Linked DNA regions of Macaca mulatta. Each later gene encodes a partner of the first gene's protein in a complex. Links are inferred from orthologs where the notes say so. Each region holds a gene or a part of one and is shown in the gene's direction. Other genes may lie near its edges.

Region 1 (2,918 bases):
ATAAATACTCCATATTTTGTTTCTCTTCCAAGTTATAGATTTCTTTTTATTTAATTCTCATTTTATATATTTTGACTTTCAGAGGATAAAACAGTTTAAGAGCTTGAGAGATTTAACCATCAAAACCAATGTTAGTTGATAATTCTTCAGAAACTTGAATACCATCTGAGTTACTCTGTTATGCTAGACCCATGCCTTCTTTTATTCAATTCTAAACTTTCATAAAACTCTCCCTGATTATTTCCTTCAAGTTCTGGTTCTAATTAGTATAGTCACATTTGTATCTACCTTACTGGGAGAGTTCAATAATACATCCATTTGATACACATTAAACAATACATGTGAGACAGACGGAGCACCGGTAACTAGTAAGTACTCGTTAGGTGTTATATGTAACTACTAAATTTTTAAAATATTTATGGGACTGATTTGAATCTCTGAAAAATGGCAAATTATATTTACTTGTGCATGATAGTATAGAATGTTACGGTTTAGTGGTCTGACTCAGGAGCTAGTCTTTTGTGGTTCATCTCCTGGCTCTGCCACTTACTACCCATGTGCCCATAAGACACACCACTCTGTGCCTCAGTTTCTTCTTTGAAATGGGGCTAATTATAGTATTAAAGGGTAGAGATGAGTTGAGACAATGTGTACGATGTGTTTAGCACACTGCTTAGTGCTGGTATGTAGCATATAGTGATACATTACATTGCTGTAGTTGGTATGTATGGTTCTTCCTTATTTATGTATATTTGCCCATCAGTTTCCCTTAAATCTCCTTTGTTTTAGTTTATACCTTTAGCTGCTGGTCTTCGTAAGCTTTTATGCTAGTTACTTTTTGGAGATACTCAAATTAGTACATAGTTGTCGTTTCTAACTGCCGTCAACTCTGCATATGAGTGAGATGTGTGGTGCAGGACCCCCACCCCAGCCAAACAACCAAGAGGTAAATTGTGTACCCTCGAATACTGTTGGTTATAAAAAAGGTATTTTATTTGACATTGTATTGTTACTTGTATTGGAATACTTAGCAACTGAAATGATTGTGAGGCTGAATTTACACTTTCAGGTAAACCAGAATATTTCTCTTTTTCTCCTGAATATTTTCTTTACAGGGAACACTGAAAGGTTTTGACCAGACCATTAATTTGATTTTGGATGAAAGCCATGAGCGAGTATTCAGCTCTTCACAGGGGGTAGAGCAAGTGGTACTAGGATTATACATTGTAAGAGGTGACAACGTGTAAGTAAAATATATCTGTTAAAATTATAAATGATACTGCCTTACTTTTTTTTTTTTTTTTTTTTTTTTTTTTTTTAGACGGAGTCTCGCTCTGTCGCCCAAGCTGGAGTGCAGTGGCGCGATCCTGGCTCACTGCAAGCTCCGCCTCCTGGGTTCACGCCATTCTCCTGCCTCAGCCTCCCAAGTAGCTGAAACTACAGGCGCCCGCCACCGCGCCCGGCTCATTTTTTGTATTTTTTTAGTAGAGACGGGGTTTCACCATGGTCTCGATCTCCTGACCTTGTGATCCGCCCGCCTCGGCCTCCCAAAATGCTGGGATTACAGGCGTGAGCCACCGCGCCCGGCCGATACTGCCTTACTTTATGGAGAAGAGGTTTTACCCAAAGTACCCTATTGTATTGTCCATATGTAATTAATAGAATCTTGCATTCATTTCTTTTGTAAATACAGCGTTTCTTATATTTGCATAAAGTAAGGCATAGCTATACATTTTATGTCAACACTTTATGTTTCAACCAAAGCTTTCTCTCTACAAATTAAACTTACCTGAGATTTTCCCATTTTTCTACTAGTTAAGTAGCCTGGTTAGAGTCCAGAAAGGGCCCTGCCTTATATTAAATACTTCATTAGAGAGGCTTCTTCAAATGTTCTTAGAAATACCCAGAATTTTAGAGGAACATATTTCTAGAGTCCAAGGCCAAAGTTTGAAAAATGGTTTTGAAATCTCTCATTTGAACAATACTAATTCATGCTCAATAACATAGATGTATTTGTAAATAAGTACTTACTTGTTATTCATTTTCTTTTAATTTTTTAGTATCATTGACACACTTACGATGTCCCTGTGGCCTCAGTTTACTTGGGACAGACAGATATAAAAGTTTAAGAGTAATTGGCCAGGCGTGGTGCCTGTAATCTTAGCACTTTGGGAGTCTGAGGCAAGTGGATCAGGTCAGGAGTTCAAGACCAGCCTCGCCAACATGGCAAAACCCTGTCTCTACTAAAAATACAAAAATTAGCCAGGCTTGGTGGCGTGCGCGTGTAGTTCCAGCTTCTCGGGAGGCTGAGGTGGGAGAATCACTTGAACCCAGGAGGTGGAGGTTGCAGTGAACCGAGATCATGCCACTGCACTCCAGCCTGGGTGACAGATTGAGATACCTTCTCAAAAAAAAAAAAAAAAAATGCCGGGCACAGTGGTTCACGCATGTAATCCCAGCACTTTGGGAGGCGGAGGTGGGTGGATCACTTGAGGTCAGGAGTTCAAGACCAGCTTGGCCAACATGGTGAAACCACGTCTTTACTAAAAATGTAAAAAATTAGCCAGGCATGGTGGCGCAAGCCTGTAATCCCAGCTACTTGGGAGGCTGAGTCAAGAGAATTTGCCTGAGAGGTGGAGGTTGCAGTGAGCCAAGATCACAGCCCTGCACTCCAGCCTGGGCAGCAAGAGCAAAACACCGTCTCAAAAAAAAAAAAAAAAGAAAAGTGGCTGGTGTGGTTCCAGTGCCATGGCTCACGCCTATAATCCTAGCACTTTGAGAGGCCAAGGTGGGTGGATCACCTGAGCCCAGGAGTTCAAGACCAGCCTAGCCAGCATAGTGAAACCCCATCTCTCCTAAAAATACAAAAATTAGCCTGATGTGGTGATGGATGCCTGTAATCCCAGCTACTTGGGAGG
Region 2 (4,003 bases), on another chromosome or scaffold:
TTTTGTTGTTGTTGTTGTTTTGAGACAAGAGTTTCACTGTTGTTGCCCAGGCTGGAGTACAATGGCACGATCTCCACTCACTGCAACTTATACCTCCCGGGTTTACAGGCGCGTGCCACCACACCTGGCTAATTTTTGGGTTTTTAGTAGAGACAGGATTTCGCCATGTTGGCCAGGCTGGTCTAGAACTCCTGACCTCAGGTGATCCATTTGCCTTGGCCTCCCAAAGTGCGGGATTATAGGCGTCAGCCACTGCGCCCGGTCAATTTTTTTTTTTTTTTTTTTTTTTAAGACGGAGTCTCTCTCTGTCACCCAGGCTGGAGTGCGGTGGCCGGATCTCAGCTCACTGCAAGCTCCGCCTCCCGGGTTCACGCCATTCTCCTGCCTCAGCCTCCCGAGTAGCTGGGACTACAGGCACCCGCCACCTCGCCCGGCTAGTTTTTTGTATTTTTTAGTAGAGACGGGGTTTCACCGTGTTAGCCAGGATGGTCTCGATCTCCTGACCTCGTGATCCGCCCGTCTCGGCCTCCCAAAGTGCTGGGATTACAGGCGTGAGCCACCGCGCCCGGCCAATTTTTTTTTTTTTTTTGAGACGAGTCTCGCTCTGTCGCCCAGGCTGCAGTGCAGTGGCATGATCTTGGCTCCCTGCAACCTCCACCTCCCGGGTTCACGCAATTCTCCTTCCTCAGCCTCCCGAGTAGCTGGGATTACAGGCGCCCGCGACCACGCCTGGCTAATTTTTTTTGTATTTTTAGTGAAGACGGGACTTCACCATGTTGGCTAGCCTGGTCTCGAACTCCTGACCTCACACAATCCATCCACCTTGGCCTCTCAGAGTGCTGGGATTGAAGGCGTGAGCCACCGCCCTCGGCCTTTTTTTTTTTTATCAGCTGAATTTAAGATTAAAAACATTTTTTAATTTTATTTTTTGAATTTTATGTTTTTACTTTAACAAATATAGAAAAGTGCACACTTCATAATCTTCACAAACTCCCCACAATTCTCGATAGGATGTGTGTAGAGGGCACGAACACATCACGCTGTGGACGGCAGGGTTATGGAAAACAAAACCTTTTGAGCTCAGACGCCGAGTGCCTCCACCCGCCTAGCAGCCCAGGCTAGGGTCCGCGCCTGCGCAATGGGAGCCGGCCGGCCCTGGAAGAAGTCGGAACGAAGGAAACCCCGCCCCTTTCCCGGCTTCCTCCTCCCCTCGGTTTTACCCAGCTTGCGCTCCCCAGCCGCAAGTCGGCCGCGCTTTACCCTTCAGCGCTTGGAGGGTTCTGCGTCCCTTCCCGCTGCGCCTGCGCGGTCCCGCCTCGCCCCACGCGCGGGCTCGCGCTTCGGTTCTCCCAGACCTGGTCTCAGCATCCGGCTCTTTTCTCGCTCCGGCCCGCTGCCCGCTGCGCCAGCACCATGGTGGGTACCGTGACGTCAAAAGGGGTCGCCCTCGGGGATCTCGGACGGTTGGGGCAGGGGGGTCTGGCCTTTGTCCCCCTAGGCTGGAGTTAGGTCCGGAGTTTTTATCTTCATCGTTAGTCCTGTTCCTCAAGTTCGTTGAGGAGACACCTGAGAGCAAATGGGATTTTTTTTTTCCATGATGAGGAAAAAAACCCCAACCCTGAGAGAGATTCAGTGGGGACAGCGGGAGACGGAAAAGTTAGACCTTAGAGCACTTCTCTGCCAGGCAAGCTTCGGCAGGGTGCGGGTGGGATGTTTTCTGTAATTCATTGAAAGGAGTGGGCAGGTACCCGAGAAAGGTGGTCGATTGAGAGAGCACACTGGGGAGGCCGAGGTATGCAGGGCAGAGCCTCTCTGGGACTTTAAGTGATGGGCTCAATGCAGTGTGCAGAATAATTTGGGCTCCAGCCTTTCACCTCTCAACCAATTATTCTTTCCTGTGAAATTTTGAGAACTGTTAGGGATGCAATGGGGTTCACAATACCGGTATTTGGTAATACTGTCAAGGGACACTCCTCCCTACCATGTTCCTTCCCACATGATGGTTTTCCCCCTCTCTCCCAATAGCTCTTCTATTCTTTTTTCAAGTCCCTTGTGGGCAAGGATGTGGTCGTGGAACTCAAGAATGACCTGAGGTAGGTACCTGTTCCAACAAGTCTGTTGGGGGTGGGTGTGCCCAGGGCCCTGGAACCTCTTTAATTTGAGAAATATTTGAGGGCTGGGTGAGGTGGAATATGTACAGAAGAAATAAATGGCCGGGTGCGGTGGCTCACGCCTGTAATCTCAGCACTTTGGGAGGCTGAGGTGGGCGGATCACGAGGTCAGGAGATCAAGACCATCCTGGCTAACACGGTGAAACCCTGTCTCTACTAAAAATACAAAAAATTAGCCAGGCATGGTGGCAGGCCCCTGTAGTCCCAGCTACTTTGGAGGCTGAGGCAGGAGAATGGCGTGAACCTGGGAGGCAGAGCTTGCAGTGAGCCCAGATCACGCCACTGCACTCCAGCCTGGGTGACAGAGCGAGGCTCTGTCTCAAACAAACAAAAGAAATAAATGGGTGGGGTGCAGTGGCTCACGCCTGTAATCCGAGCACTTTGGGAGACTGAGGAGGGAGGATTGCTTGAGCCCAGGAGTTTGAGGCTGCAGTGAGCAGTGATTACTCCATTGCACTCTAGCCAGGGCAATAGAGCAAGACCCCATCTCTAAGACAAATTTTAAAATTTAACAATAAATAAATGCCTTGTGCCTTAAATTTACAGATAAGCTTGGGGATTGTATTGTGTATTGGAAAACAATACAAAGCAATATACAGTTTAAAGAGTAAATACTGGTCAGGTGTGGTGGCTCATGGGCTGGACGTGTGGCTCATGCCTGTAATCCCAGCACTTTGGGAGGCCGAGGTGGGTGAATCACGAGGTCAGGAGTTCAAGACCAGTCTGGCCAAGATGGTGAAACCCCGTCTCTACTAAAAATACAAAAATTAGCCAGGCATGGTGGCAGGTGCCTGTAATCCCAGCTACTTGGGAGGCTGAGGCAGGAAAATCGCTTGAACCTGGGTGGCAGAGGTTGCAGTGAGCTGAGATTACACCACTGCACTCCAGCCTGGGTGACAGAGTGAGACTCTGTCTCAAAAAAAATAAATAAAGAGTAAGTACTAGGCTGGCCATGGTGGCTCACACCTGTAATCTCAGCACTTTGGGAGGCTGAGGCAGGAGGATCACTTGAGTCCAGGATGTCGAGACTAGCCTGGGCAACATAGAACCATTTCTATAAAAGATTAGCCAGATGTGGTTTACATGCCTGTAGTCCCAGCTATTCGGGAGACTGAGGTGGGAGGATCACTTGAACCCAGGAGGTCGAGGCTGCAGTGAGCCATGATTGTACCACTTTACTCCAGCCTGGGTGACAGAGGAAGACTGTCTCAAAAAAGAACAGGCCAGGCCAGGCGCAGTGGCTCACGCCTGTAATCCCAGCACTTTCGGAGGCCGAGGTGGGCGGATCACGAGGTCAGGAGATTGAGACCATCCTGCCTAACATGGTGAAACCCCATCTCTACTAAAAATACAAAAAATTAGCCTGGTGTGGTGGCGGGCGCCTGTAGTTCCAGCTACTTGGGAGGCTGAGGCAGGAGAATGGCATGAACCCAGGAGGTGGAGCTTGCAGTGAGCCAAGATGGCACCACTGCACTCCAGCCTGGGCGACCAGAGCGAGACTCCATCTCAAAAAAATAAACAAAAAAACAGAACAGGCCATAGGCTGGGCATGGTGGCTCATGCCTGTAATCCCAGCACTTTGGGAGGCTGAGGTGGGTGGATCACAAGGTCAAGAGATTGAGACCAGCCTGGCCAACATGGTGAAACCTACGTATTAGATATGCTACTGTGTATCTAATACCTAGTATAGGCCAGTTGTATGATAGGTGCTTAAGGAAAGAAAAATAATATCTGAAGACCTATTGACTAAGCACTATTCTGAATACATTTATTGATTGATTTCTCAAACACTCCTTAGTAATATGTACTATTGCTGTTATACATATGAGGAA
Region 3 (3,500 bases), on another chromosome or scaffold:
TGATCCTCTAAGCCTAGTTAGATCCCCCTTACAAAGTCCCCTCTAGCACTGTGTGCTTACTGCTGTCGTGATAGGTAATATAATATAGTTCGCCAGTACTCTCTGTCGTTTCCCCAGGACTAAGCTACTTGAAATCAAGAACGGATTCTTAGTCATCACTGTACAGTTAGCACCTGAGTCCGTATCCAGTACATTGTGGCACTGAGTGAAAGTTGGCAGTCTTCACAAACCAAGTGGTAGCAGTGTAGGGGCTCATTGACTCTAAACTGCATAGAGTAATTGCTTATAGTTGAATTTTGGGAATTTCCAAATAGAGAAGACTGAGTGGGAGAAACCACAGTGGGAGTTTAGCCATCCCCACTTGACTCTTTGAAGGTTGTTGGAGGGCTGGGCATAGTGGCTTATGCCCATAATCCCAGCACTTTGGGAGACTGAGGCAGGAGGATCACTTGAGCCCAGAAGTTCAAGACTTGCCTGAGCAACATAGCAAGACCTTGTCTCTGCAGAAAAATTTAAAAATTAGCCAGTTGTAGCATTATACCTGTAGTCCCAGCTACTCAGGAGGCTGGGGTGGAAGGATCGCTTGAGCCCAGGAGTTTGAGGCTGCAGTGACCCATGACCGTGCCGCTGCACTCCACCCTGGGCAACAACAAGACCTCATCTCTTGAAAAGAAAAAAAAAAAAAAGGTTGCTAGGTGGTTTGAACAGTAAGAGAATAGTAGAGGCTTGCTCCCATCTTAGGGGAGCTTTAAAAACAGTGTTTAAAACTGTGTTAAAGTGTACTTTAAAAACAGTGTTATGTCAACCATGTTTAAATTCTGATCTTTTTTTTTTTTTTTTTAACAGGTTAAGAAATATCCTCTCAGTCGTCGGTACTGATGCCTTGAAAAAGACCAAAAAGGATGATGAGAAGTCTAAGAAGTCCAAAGAAGAGGTAGAACATGTCTTTAACTTCACAGTGTAAACATGAAGGAAATGAGGAGATAGGTCTCTCATTTTCTGCTTTCAATGGTTTGCTTTGCTAAGATGATGGAGGGAAGTGTCTTTGAAGGCTCTACCATTCAAGAATAGTTGCTGGCAGTAGTTTTGGTTCCTTTGTAAGTATGAATGGAGCTAAGTGAGTTTTCCAGTCAGGAAAGAATCATAGCATTCCTGGTATAACCATCTATTTACATATCATAGAAAAAAAATACGGTAGAAAGCCATATGCCTGATTTCATACTATTACCAAACGAATTCACCTTCCTTCTGGGCAGTTAACATGGAGAAACGACAGGAGTAGAATGCTTCAGATTTGACCTTTCTGCTCTTAATTTGCCTTTCAGTATCAGCAGACCTGGTACCATGAAGGACCAAATAGCTTGAAGGTGGCAAGACTATGGATTGCTAATTATTCATTGCCCAGGTAAAGAGAGCCTCCAGTAGAAGAAAGAAGCATATTTTGTGTGTGTGTTTCAGGAACTGAGTGCTTGATAATGACTGTGGTTGTTAAATGAAATTGAGGGGTAGAGATACATGTGGACCCTTGTTTACAACCCTGTTGCTCCTGGTGATGGTGTTTCTGTGTCACAGGGCAATGAAACGCTTGGAAGAGGCCCGACTCCATAAGGAGATTCCTGAGACAACAAGGACCTCCCAGATGCAAGAGCTGCACAAGTCTCTCCGGGTAAGATGCTCCCAGTGATTGTCCCACGTCTTAAAGGTTCTTCATATTTGTGTGATTTTTCTACTTTGGCCCACCTCTGGGAAGGTAGAGGTGACTAGAGCGATCCCTCCCTGCTTGAGCTGAGCTGCTGTGACATGGAAGGAGCAATCAGTTAACGTGACAGGAGCTTGCTGTGCTTTGTACTCAGCAGAGGCCTATGGTTCTCTTCTTTATTTCTCCCTGTTAATACGTCAAAGTTTCTCTGGGGTTTTCTGTTTATATTTATCTGACTCAGAAGTTGTGATACTAAGACTATAGAAAACAGCTGGGTGCAGTGGCTCATGCCTGTAATCCCAGCACTTAGGGAGGCAGAGGTGGGTGGGTCACCTGAGCTCAGGAGTTTGAGACCAGCCTAGTCAACATGATGAAACCCTGTCTTTACTAAAAGTACAAAAATTTGCCAGATATGGTGTCATGCGCCTGTAATCCCAGGTACTTGGGAGGCTGAGATGGGAGGATCGCTTGAACCTGGGAGGCAGAGGTTGCAGTGAGCCAAGATCACACCACTACACTCCACTCTGGGCGACAGAGCAACACTCTGTCTCAAAACCACAGAAGAATCTTGGGATGGGTTAAAACTGAAAAGTTGCTTTGTTGTTCTTTTTTTGGTGGAAAAGCCAAGGAACTCAGATTAACCTATTAATGATCATCGTGTGTGTGTGTTTTTTTTCTTTTTAAGTCTTTGAATAATTTTTGCAGTCAGATTGGGGATGATCGGCCTATCTCCTACTGTCACTTTAGTCCCAATTCCAAGATGCTGGCCACAGCTTGTTGGTAAGTTCCATTTTACAGTGACATTTTTTCCTAAATGGGGAACAGGCTCAGGAAAATATTAGCATTTGTCTTAGACGTCTATTTGTACGTCCTCTTTCTCTGCTTCTCATGATCACACCAAACTACAGATATCAGTCAGTGCTCTACCTGTTGTATAATATGATGCAGACTTGGTTTAGCCGTTCTCAGTCTTCACCAGTGACCCCAGAGATTCATTACACTCTAGCACTCTGTCACATTCTTGACACTAGTATTTTGGAGCAGGTCATGTAGTGAGTTTACAGACCAACTAGTATCCATAACTCAGTCTGGCTTTTCTTTTTCAGTTATGTGATCTCCCTAAGATACTTAATCCCTGTCAGCTTCAGTGTCCTTATCTGTAAAGTGGGATGAGGTAGTGTTTGTAAAGCATTTTGCCTTGACAGTGCCTGGTATGTAGTAAGGGCTCATTAAATGTTAATTATTGGTTTATCTTTGTTTTATTTTCTTATCACCACATACGCAGAAAACTCAGGATGTGGTAACTTTGTTGTTTTGTTTGAGTTTGGTTGTTTGGTTTGGTTTGGTTTTTTTTTTTTGAGATGGAGTCTCACTTTGTCGCCGAGGCTGGAGTGCAGTGGCACAGTGTCCACTCACTGCAAGCTCCGCCTCCTGGGTTCACACCATTCTCCTGCCTCAGCTTCCTGAGTAGCTGAGACTACAGGTGCCTGCCACCATGCCTGACAAATTTTTTTTTTTTATTTTTTTTTTATTTTTTTTATTTTTAGTAGAGACAGGGTTTCACCATGTTAGCCAGGATGGTCTCCATCTCCTGACCTTGTGATCCACCCGCCTCGGCCTCCCAAATGGTTGTGTTTTTTTGTGAGACATGGCTAACTAAAGAGAAAGGAAACTTAGATTTAATACACAGGAGCTACTTGACTAGGCCGACCTTGAGACTGGTTTAGGAGAAAGCCAAGGGACTGCACAAATCAGTCCACCTCTCCAAGCCTCATTACCTTCACTGTAAAGTATAAATGAT
Region 4 (4,023 bases), on another chromosome or scaffold:
AAGAAGTTTGAATCAAAATTTTATTTTATTTTTTTTTTAATAATTTAAACAACCAGTAAGGAATGTGCAATTTGATGTCTTGCAAAGAAAGTTTTTAGGAACAGGCCTTTTTATCCTGTTATGTTTGTACTTTGCAAGTAATTATTTGATTTAAACAGTACTTTTCTTAAAATTTTTATTTATATTATATTTTATATTGCAAGAACTTCAAATACAGTCCTCTCAATAAATCAGTAACTGTTTGGTCTTTACCCAAACTGAGCTTTTATAGAAGGATATAAGGAAGTCTCTATTCTTTACCAAATCACATCCACTTGTTTTCTGTCCCTGATATCAATCAAAAGTTCATTTCTTCTGCCTTTAGCCAAAAGAAGGTTACAAGGGAGGAATTCTTTATCTCAGAAAAAAATTCTGCATCTTAGATTTTATAACACCTAATGGGGTTAAGGATCTGTGTTGGAAGATCTTATTGCTTTGTGTGTAGCGTTACAAACCATAAATAAAATTAAAGTAAGTTTTCAGCTGATGAGAGTAAAGGAATCAAGTCTTGGGGTAACAGTTCTCTTTTTTCCCCCTTCCAATCCCATTAATAGAAAGAGTGTTGAGAATTCATGCAAAATTCCAAACCAAGTTCCCATAGTAGCACTTAAATAATGTCTGCACACCATTTCCAATTGGAACAAGTTTTTAATGTAACACAATTAATGTCATTATAATTCGGAGTTACTTGAGTGATTTTAATTATTTTTTAATCAACATTGCCATGGAAACAGTCTCTTGCTAAAATGGCTTAAGTCTTCACACATTTAATAAATATCCAGAGGTAGATTTAAAGACTTGAGGTGTTTTATTTATTTATTTGCTTTAAACTATTCAAGGACGTTTCTGGGTACACAGTGCCGTTACTTAAACAGTAAATTCCAGTTTCCTATGACTTCAAGTTATTTTTTACACTTCTGCAAATAAATCCTGGACAAAAGATCACTTCTAGTTTCCTGGATTTTTGTTTTTGTTTTATATTATATTTGTTTTGTATTCAGATTTCTGTCAGAGGAACTCCAGTGCACCAATTTTGCTACTAGACAAAACAGGATTCTCGGATTTGCGCGCTTCGGCGCTGACAGGCTTTTCGGCCCCAGCGGGCTGCCGTAGCAGAGAAGAGCAGTGATTGGCCGAGGCAGAAAAGTGCCGCTGCCTCGGCGGTTTCGCTTTTGGCTGCGATCATCCGCGGAGGCCGGACTCGTGGGGCGCCTGGAGTGAGGGTTCTGGATCCCGCCCGCGAGGTGAGCCGCACGGCTGCGCGGGCCGATGACGGGGCCGGGCGTAGCCCCGGGTTCGACGCCCCAGTGTTCAGTCGCGCTGTGGAGCGGCGGCTGCAGCGGCCCTAGGCCGGGCGAGGCAGCCCCGGAAAGGGCCTGAGGGGAACGGGCTGGGGCTCCGGGAAGGGGCCGCTGAGTGGCAGCTTTCCGCGAAATGCCGCGTCCAAGCTCTCCGCTCACGGAATGGCCGGAGAGGTCTGATAGTGGGCGCCGGGACCGCCCTCAGCGAGGTGCTTAGACTGCGCAGAGAGTAGCGGCACCGTCCCGGCTCCCACCGAGTTGGCGTCCGAGACCAGTTGAGGTTGTTGAAGTTCCCCAGGGAGCCCCGAGGCTAATCCCAGGATTCGGCGGGAAAGCGGATCCCGAACCCAGGCCTAGGCTTCGCCAGTCTTCCAGGGCTTCAGGGAATTGCTAACCCTTCCCTACATCGGGGTGGCTGCGCCTGACCACAGGAATTAAGGACTCGACTCGCCTGTCTTACTGAGTTGTCAGGCCTAGGAACCCAATTGTATGGTCTTAAGTCCTATTGCCCGAGGTTTTCTGTGCGTTCGCGTGTCCGCGCGCGTGCATAGCAGGCGTTTTTAAGATGTGTAGCATTAGGATGAAGCGGATTACCCTACCCCACTGCTCTTAGTAATATGTGACTATTGTAGAAAATTGCAAACATGGAAGACTTTAGTGAAGAAATAGTATTCACAACCCTTTCACCTACAATCTTTTTCTCCTGTGTATGCTAGCTTCTACTTGAGCTAGGAGTGTACATGTTTAATCACTTAACAGTATAGTTTACCACTTCCATTTAAAAACTCTTCCTAAATATTATTCTAGTTTTGTATCTTCTTTTGATTGACTGTCCCTCATTGTGGATCGCAATGTAGGTCCCATAAATTATTCAGTCATTTCCCGATTGTGGGATATTATAGATTGTTTTTGAATTTTTGAATCTCTTAGCACCCCAGATAATACTTTGATAAACCTTTTCCCCCCTATTTTTTAGATTATTTCCTTGGACTAGATTCTCAGAAGTGAAATTATCAGATTAGATGCTTTCATCTGTAAGGCCTTTTTTAGGCCTTCGTACACATTGCTGCAGTGTTTTCCAAAAAAGTTTTTCAGGTGTTTGGCAATTTTACTTGCTTGAATATTGTACAGAAATCTTGAGAGGCTTATGTTTGTGGGTGTGTGTGTGTGTGTGTGTGTGTCACTGGAGTTAATGCGTTACTACCTGAATGTTAGGGCAGGAAGAGACTTAAGTGGTCATCTGGCATAACTCCCTTATTTTGCAGATGAGGAACCTGGGGCCATGAGAAGTGAAATGATGAGTTATCCAAGTCACACAGCTAATTAAGTAGCAGAGCTGGGATTAGAACTCAGGTTTCCTGCCTCCCAAGTGAGTACCCTGTGCTGCATCAGGCAGTCTCTCACTGAACTGTGGCATAGTAGATATTAGAATTTAAAAATTTGTTTACATCACCTGGATTATTCTCTCCTTTTAAAAGTGTACTAACAGATTAATGATCGGAGGGACCTGTAACACTGAGAAATTGGAAAGTGATTATTTTCATGGCTAAGACTAGAAATCCATTATTTAGAATGGCAACCCCTTCAAGATTTTGACAGTTGTTTTCAGGTTCCCTTTATGTTAGAATAAAACATCCCTGATTAATTATAATCTACACTCCATCATTTGGTTAGAATGTAGCTTTTGGTTATCATTTGCTGTACTTTGGAGATTTCTTTAAAACTCCTCACTTTAAAACCAAAGAACAATGTTGTTGGTGGTTTTTTTTTTTAGGGCTTATAGCGGAGATTCTCAGCTTCCATTGACATTTTGGGCTGGACAGTCCTTTGTTGTGGAGGGCGGTCCTGTTGTAAAATGTTTAGCAACATCCCTGGTCTCTACCCACTAGTATAGCAGTAGCACCACCTTCCTCAGTCTTGACAGTTCAGTGTCCCCAGATACTTCCAAATGTCCCTGAGCAGGGTGGGGTGGGGTTGGGGAAACTGCCCCTAGTTGAGAACCATTTGCTTAAATAAATTATCTGGAGAACTTCATAAAATGTAAAATACAGTGCTTTTACCTGAGTAGACTTCAGGAATCTGCATTTTAACAAGCATCTCTAGATTTGGAAACAGCTGGTTCTTGAATGACAGAAAGGGTTGTTTTCTCCGTCTTTGGTGGTCCTAATAGAGATTACTTGGTTAGTATTTGTTGAAGTACGTGCATGATCCTACTAGTCACTGTATCCATAGTTTGGGTTGGTGGGGGCTGGACAGGGATTTTGCTTGGCACTGGCCTTGAATGTCTCTTCCACAGACTTGGGCAGTGTGCTTAGGTACCAGGGATACCAAGTGAGTAGGATATTTCCCCTGTCCCCAAGGAGCTTAAAACTCACCATGGGAGACCTGTCAGCAAATGGAAAAATTACAAAGCAGCCTGATAAGGACCATGACCGAGAGTGGAAAGAGGTGCTCTGAGTGGACTCACTTCGCCTTTGGGAGAGAGGGAGAGAAGTAGCGCCTGCTGCTCAGGAAGGAGGGATTGGTATGAAGCCTTCACAAGACAGCGAGGCACTCCACTGTGTCAGAAGGGAGGACTTGGAGAGCTGTTCTTCTCCGTGTCTGATCGCCTCCTCAGACACTGATCTGTTAGTCTAGTGCTGCAGTTACTTGGATTGTAATGTTTCCTTGCAAGTTTTTGCTT
Region 5 (4,249 bases), on another chromosome or scaffold:
GGCGCGCGGCACCACGCCCGGGTAATTTTTTTGTATTTTTAGTAGAGACGGGGTTTCACCATGTTGGTCAGACTGGTCTTAAACTCCCGACCACAGGCGATCCACCGGCCTCGGCTTCCCAAAGTGCCGGGATTACAGGCCTGAGCCACCGCGCCCGGGCATGATTTGTTGTCAATTTGTCATCCAAAGGACCACCAGGATGGCTGGATAGTAGACAAGAGTTTTACTGTCAATGTCAGTTTGCAAACCAGGGGGAGTCTCTAACATGAACCCAAAGTGCTCTCTCAGAAGAACAGAGATTAGAGGTTTTATTTTAAAAAGAGAAATATTATTTCTCTTGGAGAAAGTTCATAGGCACCAGTAAGGGTCTGGGGAGCGAAGCCGGGGGAGCCAGATCAGTCCTGGAGGTGCAAGTTATGCTGAAGCTATGCAATAAAACTGGCTTCAGGTCGGGCGCGGTGGCTTCCTCCAGTAATTTCAGCGCTTTGGGAGGCCGAAGCGGGCGGATCACTTGAGGTCAGGGGTTCGAAACCAGCCTGGCCAACATGGTTAAACCCCGTCTCTACTAAGTACAAAAAAACTAGCCGGGCTGGCGCCTGTAGTCCCAGCTTACGGGGAGGCTGAGGCAGGAGAAGCGCTTGAACCCGGGAGGCGGGGGCTGCAGTGGGCCGAGATCACGCCACTGCACTCCAGCCTGCGCGACAGAACGAGACAACGTCTCAAAAAAAATTTTTTTTCTTTATAAAAAGACAAAAACTCTGGTTTCGGGTTACAACAGGCAGCTCAGCAGCCGGCCTGACGGTGACATTCCTCAAGGACGGCCTGCCCAGTGCTTCCCCCCACCCCGCTGCTCGGCTCTGCCGTGGCTGGGTATGGCAACAACGACACATTTTTATGGTCAAGTTTCACAAATGACACACACGAACCGTCTCGCTAACACACAGCACAAACGATGACCCGAAACAGACACCAGAAAGGAAAAAAACGAGCCGCAGTGCCGGGCATGCCGGGCCTTTCTGAAGACGTCCCCATCCGTGGCTGGAGGACAGCCCGGGCGGCGGCGGGCGGCCTCGGGGCGGGTGCGTCGGGGCAGGGCACGGCGAGCCCGGGGCTTCTCAGGACCACCAGGCCGCCTGGACGCTGGGGAGGAACCCCCACTCCGACGCCGGCTAGGAGGGCACCAACCGCGCTCCACCGTGGCCAGGTCGCCGCCGCTCCCGCCGGCCAACGACAAGCTAGCGCGGCGTCTGTACGCGCGTGACGTCAGCACGCACGGCGCCAGCCCGTGCGCATGACGTCAGCACGCACGGCGTCGGTGCGTGCGCGCCCAGAGGTTCCGCCCGGCGGCAGTGCCAGCGGAGCTTGCGGGTGTGGGTGGGACCGGGTTTCGGCTGTGGGCCCGGGGGCGGCGGGGGCCGCGGAGTGAGGGGCCGGCTGAGCCCACCACCTCGCTGGGCCCTCCCTGGCGCCCGGCCTCGGGCGGCGGCGAGCGCGCGGGTCGCCATGTCGTACATGCTCCCGCACCTGCACAACGGCTGGCAGGTGGACCAGGCCATTCTCTCCGAGGAGGACCGCGTGGTCGTCATCCGCTTCGGCCACGACTGGGACCCCACCTGCATGAAGATGGACGAGGTCCTATACAGCATCGCCGAGAAGGTAGCGCGCCGGGCCCTCCCGCCCTGCTGGCTGTGCTTCCGCAGCGGCCCCGCGCCTCTGCCCCGCCGGCCTCGCCTGGGGGCGCGAGCCGTTCCCCGAGGAGGGGCCGCGGCGCGGTTGTCCGGGCGATTCCTTCCCGCGCTGCGGGCGAGCGCTCTCGGGGACTGTGCCGGCGTTTCGCGCCTTTTTCTGCAGGGAGCTCCTGTAGTTGTTCACGTTTTAAAGGGTTTATGATCCCCCTCCCCTCGAAGGAATTCATTATTTCTGTTGGTAAGGCGTTTTTCCCAATCTTACAGTGCAGTGAACAAAGTAACACTTGCAGGTTTTGAGAGCGCAGATCCTTAATTTAAAAGGATGCCCTTTTCTGGTGCCCTGTTTGTTTGTTGTATGTGTAAAGCAGAACTTTCATGTTAATAGCATAAGAAATCCTGTTTTTCTGTTGGTGTTTTCTTCCACCGCGCTTTTTGTAAGTCATGTGATTTATAGCTTAGAGTGATTAAGATGCAGAAAACATCGGGAGAAAATAGAACTATGCTTTGTTGGAACTAGTTTTCTGAATTTCTAATATTAGTACATTGAGTGGCCTTGGCACTTACTTGCTGACAATAAAAGTTGTGGGACACTATAACCAGGTTTCATTCTTTTTCTGTGGTTCCTCACAGCAATTTTAGGATGGCGTTTATTTAGGTTTTGCAGCTGTAGCAATAGGGCAAAGGGCACAAATACTAGGGTGTTAATAAAATATTTGCCATATTAATTTTCCGTAAGTAATTTGAGCGGTTATTCATTTTGATGAAGAGTAAAAGTAACATTGAAGCTATCTTTTCTTTCACAGATGCTAAAGTAGGCTGGGTTAAAATAACTCCTTTGAGTAAAGAGTAACAGATATAAAGACATTTTATATTGAGGAAAGGAAAGACTGTCTGGCCTGCCATTTATTAATTCTTGCTATTTCTTATTTAGTAGGAGAGGTGTGATGTTAGGAACTGTTGTTATATTTTAGTTATTACAAGAATCTCTTGGAGTGCTTACTAAAATGCATCTGTGATTCTGAGTCTATGGGTGTGGGGTGAAGTCCAGCAATGGCTTTTTAAAGAAGCCCCTCAGGGAATTCTGATGTGACCTGACCTTGAACCACACACTCAGAAACCCTTCCATGGGGGTCAGGGACAGAGGCGGAGTGCTTTATTACCAGCCATCTCCCAGCCTCTTCCTCTTGGACAGCAGGACACTGAGGACTTGAGGAGCTGCCTAGGGAATCAGGAGAGCAGCAGTTCTCTCACACTGGGGCTTCTGCCAGCCAGGGATTAGAGATGATGAGTGAGGCAGTGCCAGCACATCAGCTTTTCATTGCTTGACTTGTAGTGGACAAGGGCAGATACTGGAAATCCAGCGAAGAATTGACGAAGAGCAGTTTCCCAATAAGTAAATCACTGCTTGTAAATCACTGACTTTGAGTTACGAGTTCTAGAATCTTTCACTGTTCTACCTTGCAGGTGGTGGCATAAACATCAGCTGGTGTTCAGATCCTGCTGCCGGCAGCTCGAGGCTAGGATGGCTGGCGATGTGAGGGCCTTTGTCTCATCACATCCAGGCAGAGCTCAGCAAGATGCTCTTAGCTAGGAAACAGATTTTATGTGTTAATGTAAGTGTTAGGGTCTTTGCCAGATTTGCTCTTTTTTTCCAATTCCTTTATGTCCGATTTCTTTGTTATTACAGAATGAATCACTGTATCACTAGTGGACACACACTTAAGGACAGTTGAAATGGGCTCACTTTGGGGTATTTTTTTTTTTTTTTTGGTCTTTTAAAATAGTTTGATTTTTGTTTCTGTCCAAAAATTTGGATTGCTTTATTAATAAACTTTTAATGCAAATATTATAGTATAATTATTAAAAGCGCAAACCTAGGCCAGGCACGGTGGTTCATATCTGTAATCCCAGCACTTTGGTTGGGAGGCTAGTGTAGGCAGATCACTTGAGCCCAGGAATTCGAGACCAGCCTGGACAATATGGTGAAACCCGTTCTCTACTAAAAGTACAAATGCCAGACGTGGTGGCACATGCCTGTAGTCCCAGCTACTTGGGAGGCTGAGGTGGGAGAATCACCTGAGCCCGGGAAGTCAAGGCTGCAGTGAGCCATGATTATACCACTGAACTCCAGCCTGGGCAACAGGAGTGAGACCCTGTCTCCAAAAATAAGTGCAAACCTGAAATGCATTAAAAGACTATTCGTGTTTTATTTTCTTCTTAGTATATGGGCAAAATATGACTTTCTAATTCTGGAAGCTCTTTTGGGGAAACTCAACAGAAATTTTTGAAATGTAAGATTTTAGTATAAAGAACAATATAACTATTTAAAAATTTCCCTGTGCAGAAATGGCAGATAATGGAGAATCTTCCTTATCTTGTTAAGAGTCCTGTCGATGTCCCAGCTGTTTTAAAGTGAGTAACAGTTGCAGATGTTCGGCTGGACTTGATACGATTTTTTCCTGGATGTGTTGTATTGATCTGCTGCTTCCACAAGGCCCACTGGCCTCATGCTGGGTTAGAGCTGAGCTGTGAACTTCAGGAAGAAAGTTAGTCTGGAAACA
Region 6 (4,100 bases), on another chromosome or scaffold:
CACTCTGGTGGCTGAGGCAGGAGAATCCCTTAAACCCAGGACGGAGGGATTGCAGTGAGCTGAGATCCCACCACTGCACTGTAGTCTGGGTGATAGAATGAGACTCCATTTCAAAAAAAAAAAAAAAAAAAAATAGGGTCTTTGCAGATGTAATTAAGGATCTTGCGATGACATTATCCTGAATTTATGGTGGGCTTAATAAGAGAAAGGCGTGTCCTTATAAGAAAACGGAGAGGCTGGGCTCGGTGGCTCACGCCTGTAATCCCAGCACTTTGGGAGGCAGAGGAGGGAGGATTGCTTGACCCCAAGAGTTCGAGACCAGCCTGGACAACATAGGGAGACCCTGTCTCTACAAAAAAAGAAAAAAAAAAGGAGAGAGTCGTTTGAGACTCAGAGACACACAGAGAAGGCCAAGTGACGACAGAGGCAGAACGCGGAAGGCTGCATCTACAAGCCAAGAACTCCGAGGTTTCCCAGCAGCCACCAGAACCCAGGAGAGAAGCATAGGACACGCAGATTGTCCTCAGAGCCTCCAGAGGGAGCCAACCCTACTGACAACCTCATTTCATTATTCTGGTCTCCTGAATTATGAGAAAATCACGTTCTGTTGTTTTAAGCCTCCCAGTGTGTGGGCATTTGTTACAGCAGGCCCCAGGGAACTAATAGCATTCGCCTATTTACTTTGTTTACTGTCTGTCTCCCTAAGGGCCACGAATTTTGTGTACTGTTCATTTCTATGAGCAGAAGCAGGCACAGAATAGGTATTAAGTACTTAATATATGCCAGACGCTGTTTTAAGTGCTTTTACACGGTTTCATTCATTTCATCCTCATAGTAAGTAACGTTTTGGAGCAGACACTACTATTTACAGGGAGAAAACTGAGGCCCCGAGGGTCGTGGTCAGGATTCCAACCTACTAAATGATGTTCCCTGGATAATTACAGAATCAGAAAACTAGGAGTCCGAAGGGCGACACCAGGGACGTCCCAATCACCACGAAGCCTGGATTTCTCTCCCTCAACTGCAAAGGCAGTTACTGGCTTTGCCCACAGCGTGGAGCCCAGAAGACCGACGAAGGTTTCACCTGCGCACGCGTTTACCCACAATGCACCCCGCCCCGGCGCGCGTTGCTCCGCCCCCTTTTGTATTACAAGCCGCGGCACTTTACGGCTCTCTTCCTCGTTCCTCTGGCGGGAACACGGCCCGGCCCGCCCCTTTCGCCTAGCGGGCCCCGCCCCACTCCGCGTGGATTGGTTAACCGCCCTTCTAGCCCGGTGCTGACTGGCTCGCGTCTCTGCCACTTTCTTTCAGCCCAGTGGCGCGCGGCGCGGCGTGGCGAAGACCGCCGGGAGCGTGTGCAGCGGCGGCGGCGGAAGTGGCCGGCGAGCCCGGTCCCCGCCGGCACCATGGTGAGGGCAGAGCAACGGCGGGGTCTCACCGGGAGGCGGGAACCGCAGTCGTTAGGAGCCCTGCGGGCGGGCGCTGAGGGCTGGGTTGGCGCGGGGCGAACGTACGGTCCGAGCCTTGAGTCCCGTCCCCCGGCACAAGGCCGGGAAACTGATGCTGGAGACTGCAGGTGGTTCTACCACGTTCGTGTCTGGGATTTAGGGTTGCACGTACTCGTATCCACAGTACAGTGGCCTCGCCTTACTTAGTTTTCCCATTTTGCAGGTTGGGAAACTGAGGTTAAAAAAGTGGGGATCTGCCAAATGCAACAGAGAGTTTTTGGGCAGGGAAGGGGGTCCCTTACGCTTCGGACCCAGTCTGACCTCCCAGATTGAAACCTAGAGTGCTGGGAAGTAGGGGGCCAGTCTGAGTTGTGAAACTTGGTTTTAGGAATTTCAGAGCTTGTAAGATGCTTAAAATGCTAGCAGCAGAGCCTCCTAGGCCTCTTGTTTTCTGGCTGAAAAGTAGGCCTGGTGCTGGGGTGTGGTGTTTCTCCTTGGTTCACAAAGCATGTCATTCCAGAGGAAGGGAGCGTTTTGAGCTAGGGGTGGGCAAAGTACATCCTCCCCGTACACAGAAGGAAAAATTGCAGCCCAGGTCTCTGCAGGGCCACATTGTTTATGATTCTGTAAGTTCTGGATCTGGGCTAGAAAGTGCCTGTGTCTCCCAGTGTGCAGATCAGAAAAGGAATCCAGAGCTGGGAGTTTCCTGGCTCATCAGCATCTGGCCCTTCTTTTTTCAATGAGAGAAACCAAGGCCCTTGTTGGGGATGTGACTTCCAGACTGTGAGACAGTGGGAGATTCAGTAACCAGGAGGGCCCCCCAGGGGTGGCTGCATCAGAACTGTGGATTAGTGAGAGAGCTCTCCCTAAATCCAGCTGGTCAGTGTGTAGCCACCCAACGGGTTCACCTTGCCTGCTTCCTAGACAGAGCCCATTTATCAAGACAGGGCAATTGCAATACAGAAAGAGTATTTCACACAGAGCCAGCTATGCAGGAGACTGGAGTTTTATTACTGCTGAAATCAGTCTCCCCTGAGCATTAGGGGATCCGAGTTTTTAAAGATAATTTGGCGGGTAGGAGCTCAGGAAGTGGGGAGTGCTGATTGGTTGGAGCTTCCTGAGGTTGGAGATGGAGTCATTGGCGGGGGGGGGGGGGGGGGGGGGGCGGGGGCGGGGGTTGAAGTGAGATTTTCTTGCTGTCTTCTGTTCCTGGGTGGGATTGCAGGACTGGTTGAGCCAAATTACTGGTCTGGGTGGTGTCAGCTGATCCACCAAGTACAGGGTCTGCAAAATATCTCAAACACTGATCTTAGATTTTATAATAGTGATGTTATCCCTAGGAGCAATTTGGGGAGGTTCAGACTCTTGCAGCCAGAGGCTGTATGACCCGTAAACAATAATTTCTAATCGTGCAGCTAATTTGTTAGTCCTACAAAGGCAGACTGGTCCCCAGGCAAGAAAAGGGTCTTTTCGGGAAAGGGCTATTACCAATTTTGTTTCAAACTATACACTAAATCCCTTCCCAAGGTTAGTTCGGCCTATGCCCAGGAATAAACAAGAACAGCTTAAAGGTTAGAAGCACGATGGAGTCGGTTAGGTCTGATCTCTTTTCGCTGTCATAATTTCCTCAGTTACAATTTTTGCAAAGGCGGTTTCAAGAGCAAGGATTTAGAGAGCCTGTCCCTCTGCCATGTACTTAGAGGGCAGAGTTGGCATGCAAGACTGGGCAGAGCTGGAAGGATCCACCCGTGTTAAGTTTTGTGGAAGCAGAATCTTTTTTTTTCTTCCAACTATATTCCCAGTGTGTAGAACGGTGCCTGGGCAAAGTGTGAACTCATTCATTCAGCCCCTTCCCACCTTCTGAACATCCAGAGTCCTGGCTATCCAGCCATTTCCTGGAGGAGTGGCCAAGAATGGACAAGGCATCATGGGATACACACTTCCAGTTCCCTGTGATCAGGGCAGGGCCAGAAGGAGTGGCCTGGGTTAGGAGCGGGGATGGGCAGTCCTGGACAGCTTCCTGAATTAGGAGGCACTGGATTAGGTCTTTGTGGATCTAGACCTGAGAACCAGATTCCAGATGCTGCAAGAAAGCCCACTAAACCTCCACCTCTCGGAGAGAGTGATTTTCCTGCCTCAGCCTCCCAAGTAGCTTGGGATCACAGGCATGCGCCACCACGCCTGGATAATTTGTGTATTTTCAGTAGAGATGGGGTTTCACCATGTTGGCTAGGCTAGTCTTGAACCCCTGACCTCAGGTGATCCACCCACCTCGGTGTGTCAAAGTGCTGGTATTACAGGTGTGAGCCACTGCACTCTGTACTTTTTTTTCTTTTTTGGAACTGAGCTCTCACTGTCGTCCAGGCTGGAGTGCAATGGCACAATCACTGCAGCCTCAACCTCACCGGCCCAAGTGATCCTCCCACCTCAGCCTCCCAAGTAGCTGGGACCACATGCGTCACTAAACCTGTCTAATTCTTACATTTTTTGTAGAGACAGAATCTTGCTGTGTTGCCCAAGCTGGTCTCATACTCCTGGGCTCAAGTGATCCTCCCACCTCAGCCTCCCAAAGTGCTGTGATTATAGGCGCAAGCCACTGTGCCAAGCCTCACCTGGCACTTTGATGTATCTTCTTTTAAGATTTTGAGGATC
Region 7 (2,276 bases), on another chromosome or scaffold:
TACCCTCTGTTTTTTTTTTTTTTTTTTTGAGACAGAGTCTCGCTCTGTCACCCAGGCTGGAGTATAGTGGTGCAATCTCGGCTCACTGCAAGCTCCGCCTCCCAGGTTCACGCCATTCTCCTGCCTCAGCCTCTTGAGGAGCTGGGACTACAGGCGCCCGCCACCACGTCCAGCTGATTTTTTGTATTTTAAGTAGAGATGGGGTTTCATCGTGTTAGCCAGGATGGTCTTGATCTCCTGCCCTTGTGATCCACCCGCATCGGCCTCCAAAAGTGCTGAGATTACAGGCGTGAGCCACCACGCCCGGCCCATGTACTCTCTTCTTTATGATTCTTGCTGGATGATGTCTAGTGGCTATTATTCTAATTTTTCTAACCTTGGCTATGATCATTTCCTTCTACACCCTTTTGGTTTTAGAGAGCAGACTAACCCAGCTCTTCATACTTTCTGCAGGGGACAGGCAAATGGTATGAATTACAAGACCTCCAGGTGACTGACATCCTTCCCCAGATGATCACACTGTCAGAGGCTTACATTCAGGTGGGTTGGCCACAGGCTTAGTGAGCCACAAATAGGTGGGGTATGGGGCCAGTGAGAGGAGTGGGCCAAGGCAGGAAGAGGGATAGAGTTAGGACCTTGGTTGGAGGGCCAGGTACCTGTTGGGAAGTACTTAGGAGTGAGTTGGGGCCAGAATATATGGCCCTGAAAGTCAAGCAGAGATTTTCAGAAAATAGTTATAAGAAAATGTATGAGTGAGCAAAGAAAGTTGTGATTATGGCTAGATTAGTTTTGCAGAAGTGTGCGGTCTAGTTTCAAGGAGGAAGGGAGGCTGGCTAGAAGTCGACTGTGAAGTACTCCTCAAGAGCCCCAGGCAGAGCTCTCTTTGTGACCCCACAGCACTTTCTGCTTGCCTTTTGTTTTAGTGCCGACCATATTGCTTTGCCTGTCTGTCCTCTCCATTGGATTGACCCGTGGAGCACAGAGCATCTCTGTCTTCTCTTTATGTAACTGCCCTAGTACCTGGCAAAAGAAGGAAGATTGAGACAAAAGCCATAGCTTTGTAAGAAGAAAGTGATACCTCTCCTAGAGATAACTGTTTCTTCCCTTCAGTGACTGTAGCCACTGTAGCAGATTTCCAGATGGAGTATAGCAGGTTTGTAAATGGCATGACGAGTTATCCATGGCCTGGCACAGAATAGGTATTTGACAAGTATCTGTTGACTGAATGCCTCCTAGACTTCAGTTTGTGTTTTCATTTCTTACAGATTTGGAAGAGGCGAGATAATGATGAAACCAACCAGCAGGGGGCTTGAAGGAGGCGTCCAGGGCTTTGCTTCCGAGGGCTGTGGCTGATGATGGTAAATAAGAACACAGAAGCTGTAGCTATTCAGCTACAGGCTGACTGGGGGCCTCCCTGGGCCAGCCCAGCTTGTATGGATTCTGGCTACACCAGAGCACCAGGAGCCCACTTGCCTGGGATGGCCCCACACTGTCACCCAGCTGTTCTTTGATCATTTTTTTCTAGATTAATGCTCCTTTCTCCCATGCATCGAGCTCCCTTCTAGCTTCAGCAGGGCAGAACCCTTCTCCAGATGTGTGTAACTTATGTCTGAGTATCTGGGAGTAGCTGAAGAACAGATAATTTCTTCCAAACATCAAGCCTTGGGATTCTTGGAGCAAGCAGAAAGCCAGTAACCTCACTCTTGTCTGTTAGAGGTGGAGGATTTTCCTATGGTTTCCTTCATTTCCTGATGTGTATTTTTAGATGGATTAAATATTCTCCTGTTTTTAAACTAGCCTCTTGTTTTATATCTTTTCATTTGGTGGTTAGCTGAGGAAAATATTTTCCTTTTTAATCTTCACAAACTACCCTACAGTCTGACATCTGGCAGACACCATGCTCGCCGTTTCCTGTCAGCTTGTGGGTGGTGTGTCAGTTAGGATGCATTTATTTCTAAGTAGAAAAATGCTTGAGTCAAGGGGATACATTATTATTGTGCTTAACTAGAAGGCCAGAGGTGGGCAGTCTCCGGCTGCAGTGCAGGAATGAGTAAGGGAAGAGGAAAGAAAGGAAATACGAAGTTCTTCTCACTACAGTGCAATTCTGAGAAGGTCTCAACCAGGCCAGTGTGGAGCCCCAGGGCAAAGATTCCCTGTCAGACAATTCATCAGCTCTGTAGTGGGCTCTAGCAGCCTAGAAGAAGGGTGACCTTGGCATGAGCACTGTGGCAGGTCCAAAGATGTGGGAAGCAGCTGGAGGCAGCCAGTCAGCCTCA

Evidence for each region.
Region 2: LSM8 (region 1) and LSM2 share a complex: the UniProt entries of both Homo sapiens proteins name them as parts of the precatalytic spliceosome. The link is inferred for Macaca mulatta from reciprocal best matches to the Homo sapiens genes LSM8 and LSM2.
Region 3: LSM8 (region 1) and PRPF4 share a complex: the UniProt entries of both Homo sapiens proteins name them as parts of the precatalytic spliceosome. The link is inferred for Macaca mulatta from reciprocal best matches to the Homo sapiens genes LSM8 and PRPF4.
Region 4: LSM8 (region 1) and LSM6 share a complex: the UniProt entries of both Homo sapiens proteins name them as parts of the precatalytic spliceosome. The link is inferred for Macaca mulatta from reciprocal best matches to the Homo sapiens genes LSM8 and LSM6.
Region 5: LSM8 (region 1) and TXNL4A share a complex: the UniProt entries of both Homo sapiens proteins name them as parts of the precatalytic spliceosome. The link is inferred for Macaca mulatta from reciprocal best matches to the Homo sapiens genes LSM8 and TXNL4A.
Region 6: LSM8 (region 1) and LSM4 share a complex: the UniProt entries of both Homo sapiens proteins name them as parts of the precatalytic spliceosome. The link is inferred for Macaca mulatta from reciprocal best matches to the Homo sapiens genes LSM8 and LSM4.
Region 7: LSM8 (region 1) and USP39 share a complex: the UniProt entries of both Homo sapiens proteins name them as parts of the U4/U6-U5 tri-snRNP complex. The link is inferred for Macaca mulatta from reciprocal best matches to the Homo sapiens genes LSM8 and USP39.

The regions. Positions count from the first base shown.
Region 1 is NC_133408.1:157,720,108-157,723,025, forward strand, and holds part of LSM8 (LSM8 homolog, U6 small nuclear RNA associated), read left to right. Parts: intron 1-1,115; coding exon 1,116-1,243; intron 1,244-2,918. UniProt on the Homo sapiens protein: Plays a role in pre-mRNA splicing as component of the U4/U6-U5 tri-snRNP complex that is involved in spliceosome assembly, and as component of the precatalytic spliceosome (spliceosome B complex).
Region 2 is NC_133409.1:150,509,462-150,513,464, forward strand, and holds the start of LSM2 (U6 snRNA-associated Sm-like protein LSm2), read left to right. Parts: upstream 1-1,203; 5' UTR 1,204-1,413; coding exon 1,414-1,416; intron 1,417-2,025; coding exon 2,026-2,093; intron 2,094-4,003. UniProt on the Homo sapiens protein: Plays a role in pre-mRNA splicing as component of the U4/U6-U5 tri-snRNP complex that is involved in spliceosome assembly, and as component of the precatalytic spliceosome (spliceosome B complex).
Region 3 is NC_133420.1:45,029,425-45,032,924, reverse strand, and holds part of PRPF4 (U4/U6 small nuclear ribonucleoprotein Prp4), read left to right. Parts: intron 1-846; coding exon 847-934; intron 935-1,325; coding exon 1,326-1,405; intron 1,406-1,572; coding exon 1,573-1,666; intron 1,667-2,384; coding exon 2,385-2,479; intron 2,480-3,500. UniProt on the Homo sapiens protein: Plays a role in pre-mRNA splicing as component of the U4/U6-U5 tri-snRNP complex that is involved in spliceosome assembly, and as component of the precatalytic spliceosome (spliceosome B complex).
Region 4 is NC_133410.1:154,723,916-154,727,938, forward strand, and holds the start of LSM6 (U6 snRNA-associated Sm-like protein LSm6), read left to right. Parts: upstream 1-1,223; 5' UTR 1,224-1,283; intron 1,284-2,605; exon of another isoform or gene 2,606-2,709; intron 2,710-4,023. UniProt on the Homo sapiens protein: Plays a role in pre-mRNA splicing as component of the U4/U6-U5 tri-snRNP complex that is involved in spliceosome assembly, and as component of the precatalytic spliceosome (spliceosome B complex).
Region 5 is NC_133423.1:1,023,845-1,028,093, forward strand, and holds the start of TXNL4A (thioredoxin-like protein 4A), read left to right. Parts: upstream 1-1,449; 5' UTR 1,450-1,503; coding exon 1,504-1,656; intron 1,657-3,152; exon of another isoform or gene 3,153-3,265; coding exon of another isoform or gene 3,266-3,301; intron 3,302-4,249. UniProt on the Homo sapiens protein: Plays a role in pre-mRNA splicing as component of the U5 snRNP and U4/U6-U5 tri-snRNP complexes that are involved in spliceosome assembly, and as component of the precatalytic spliceosome (spliceosome B complex).
Region 6 is NC_133424.1:18,849,963-18,854,062, reverse strand, and holds the start of LSM4 (U6 snRNA-associated Sm-like protein LSm4), read left to right. Parts: upstream 1-1,300; 5' UTR 1,301-1,406; coding exon 1,407-1,409; intron 1,410-4,100. UniProt on the Homo sapiens protein: Plays a role in pre-mRNA splicing as component of the U4/U6-U5 tri-snRNP complex that is involved in spliceosome assembly, and as component of the precatalytic spliceosome (spliceosome B complex).
Region 7 is NC_133418.1:38,743,441-38,745,716, reverse strand, and holds the end of USP39 (ubiquitin carboxyl-terminal hydrolase 39), read left to right. Parts: intron 1-453; coding exon 454-540; intron 541-1,265; coding exon 1,266-1,313; 3' UTR 1,314-1,776; downstream 1,777-2,276.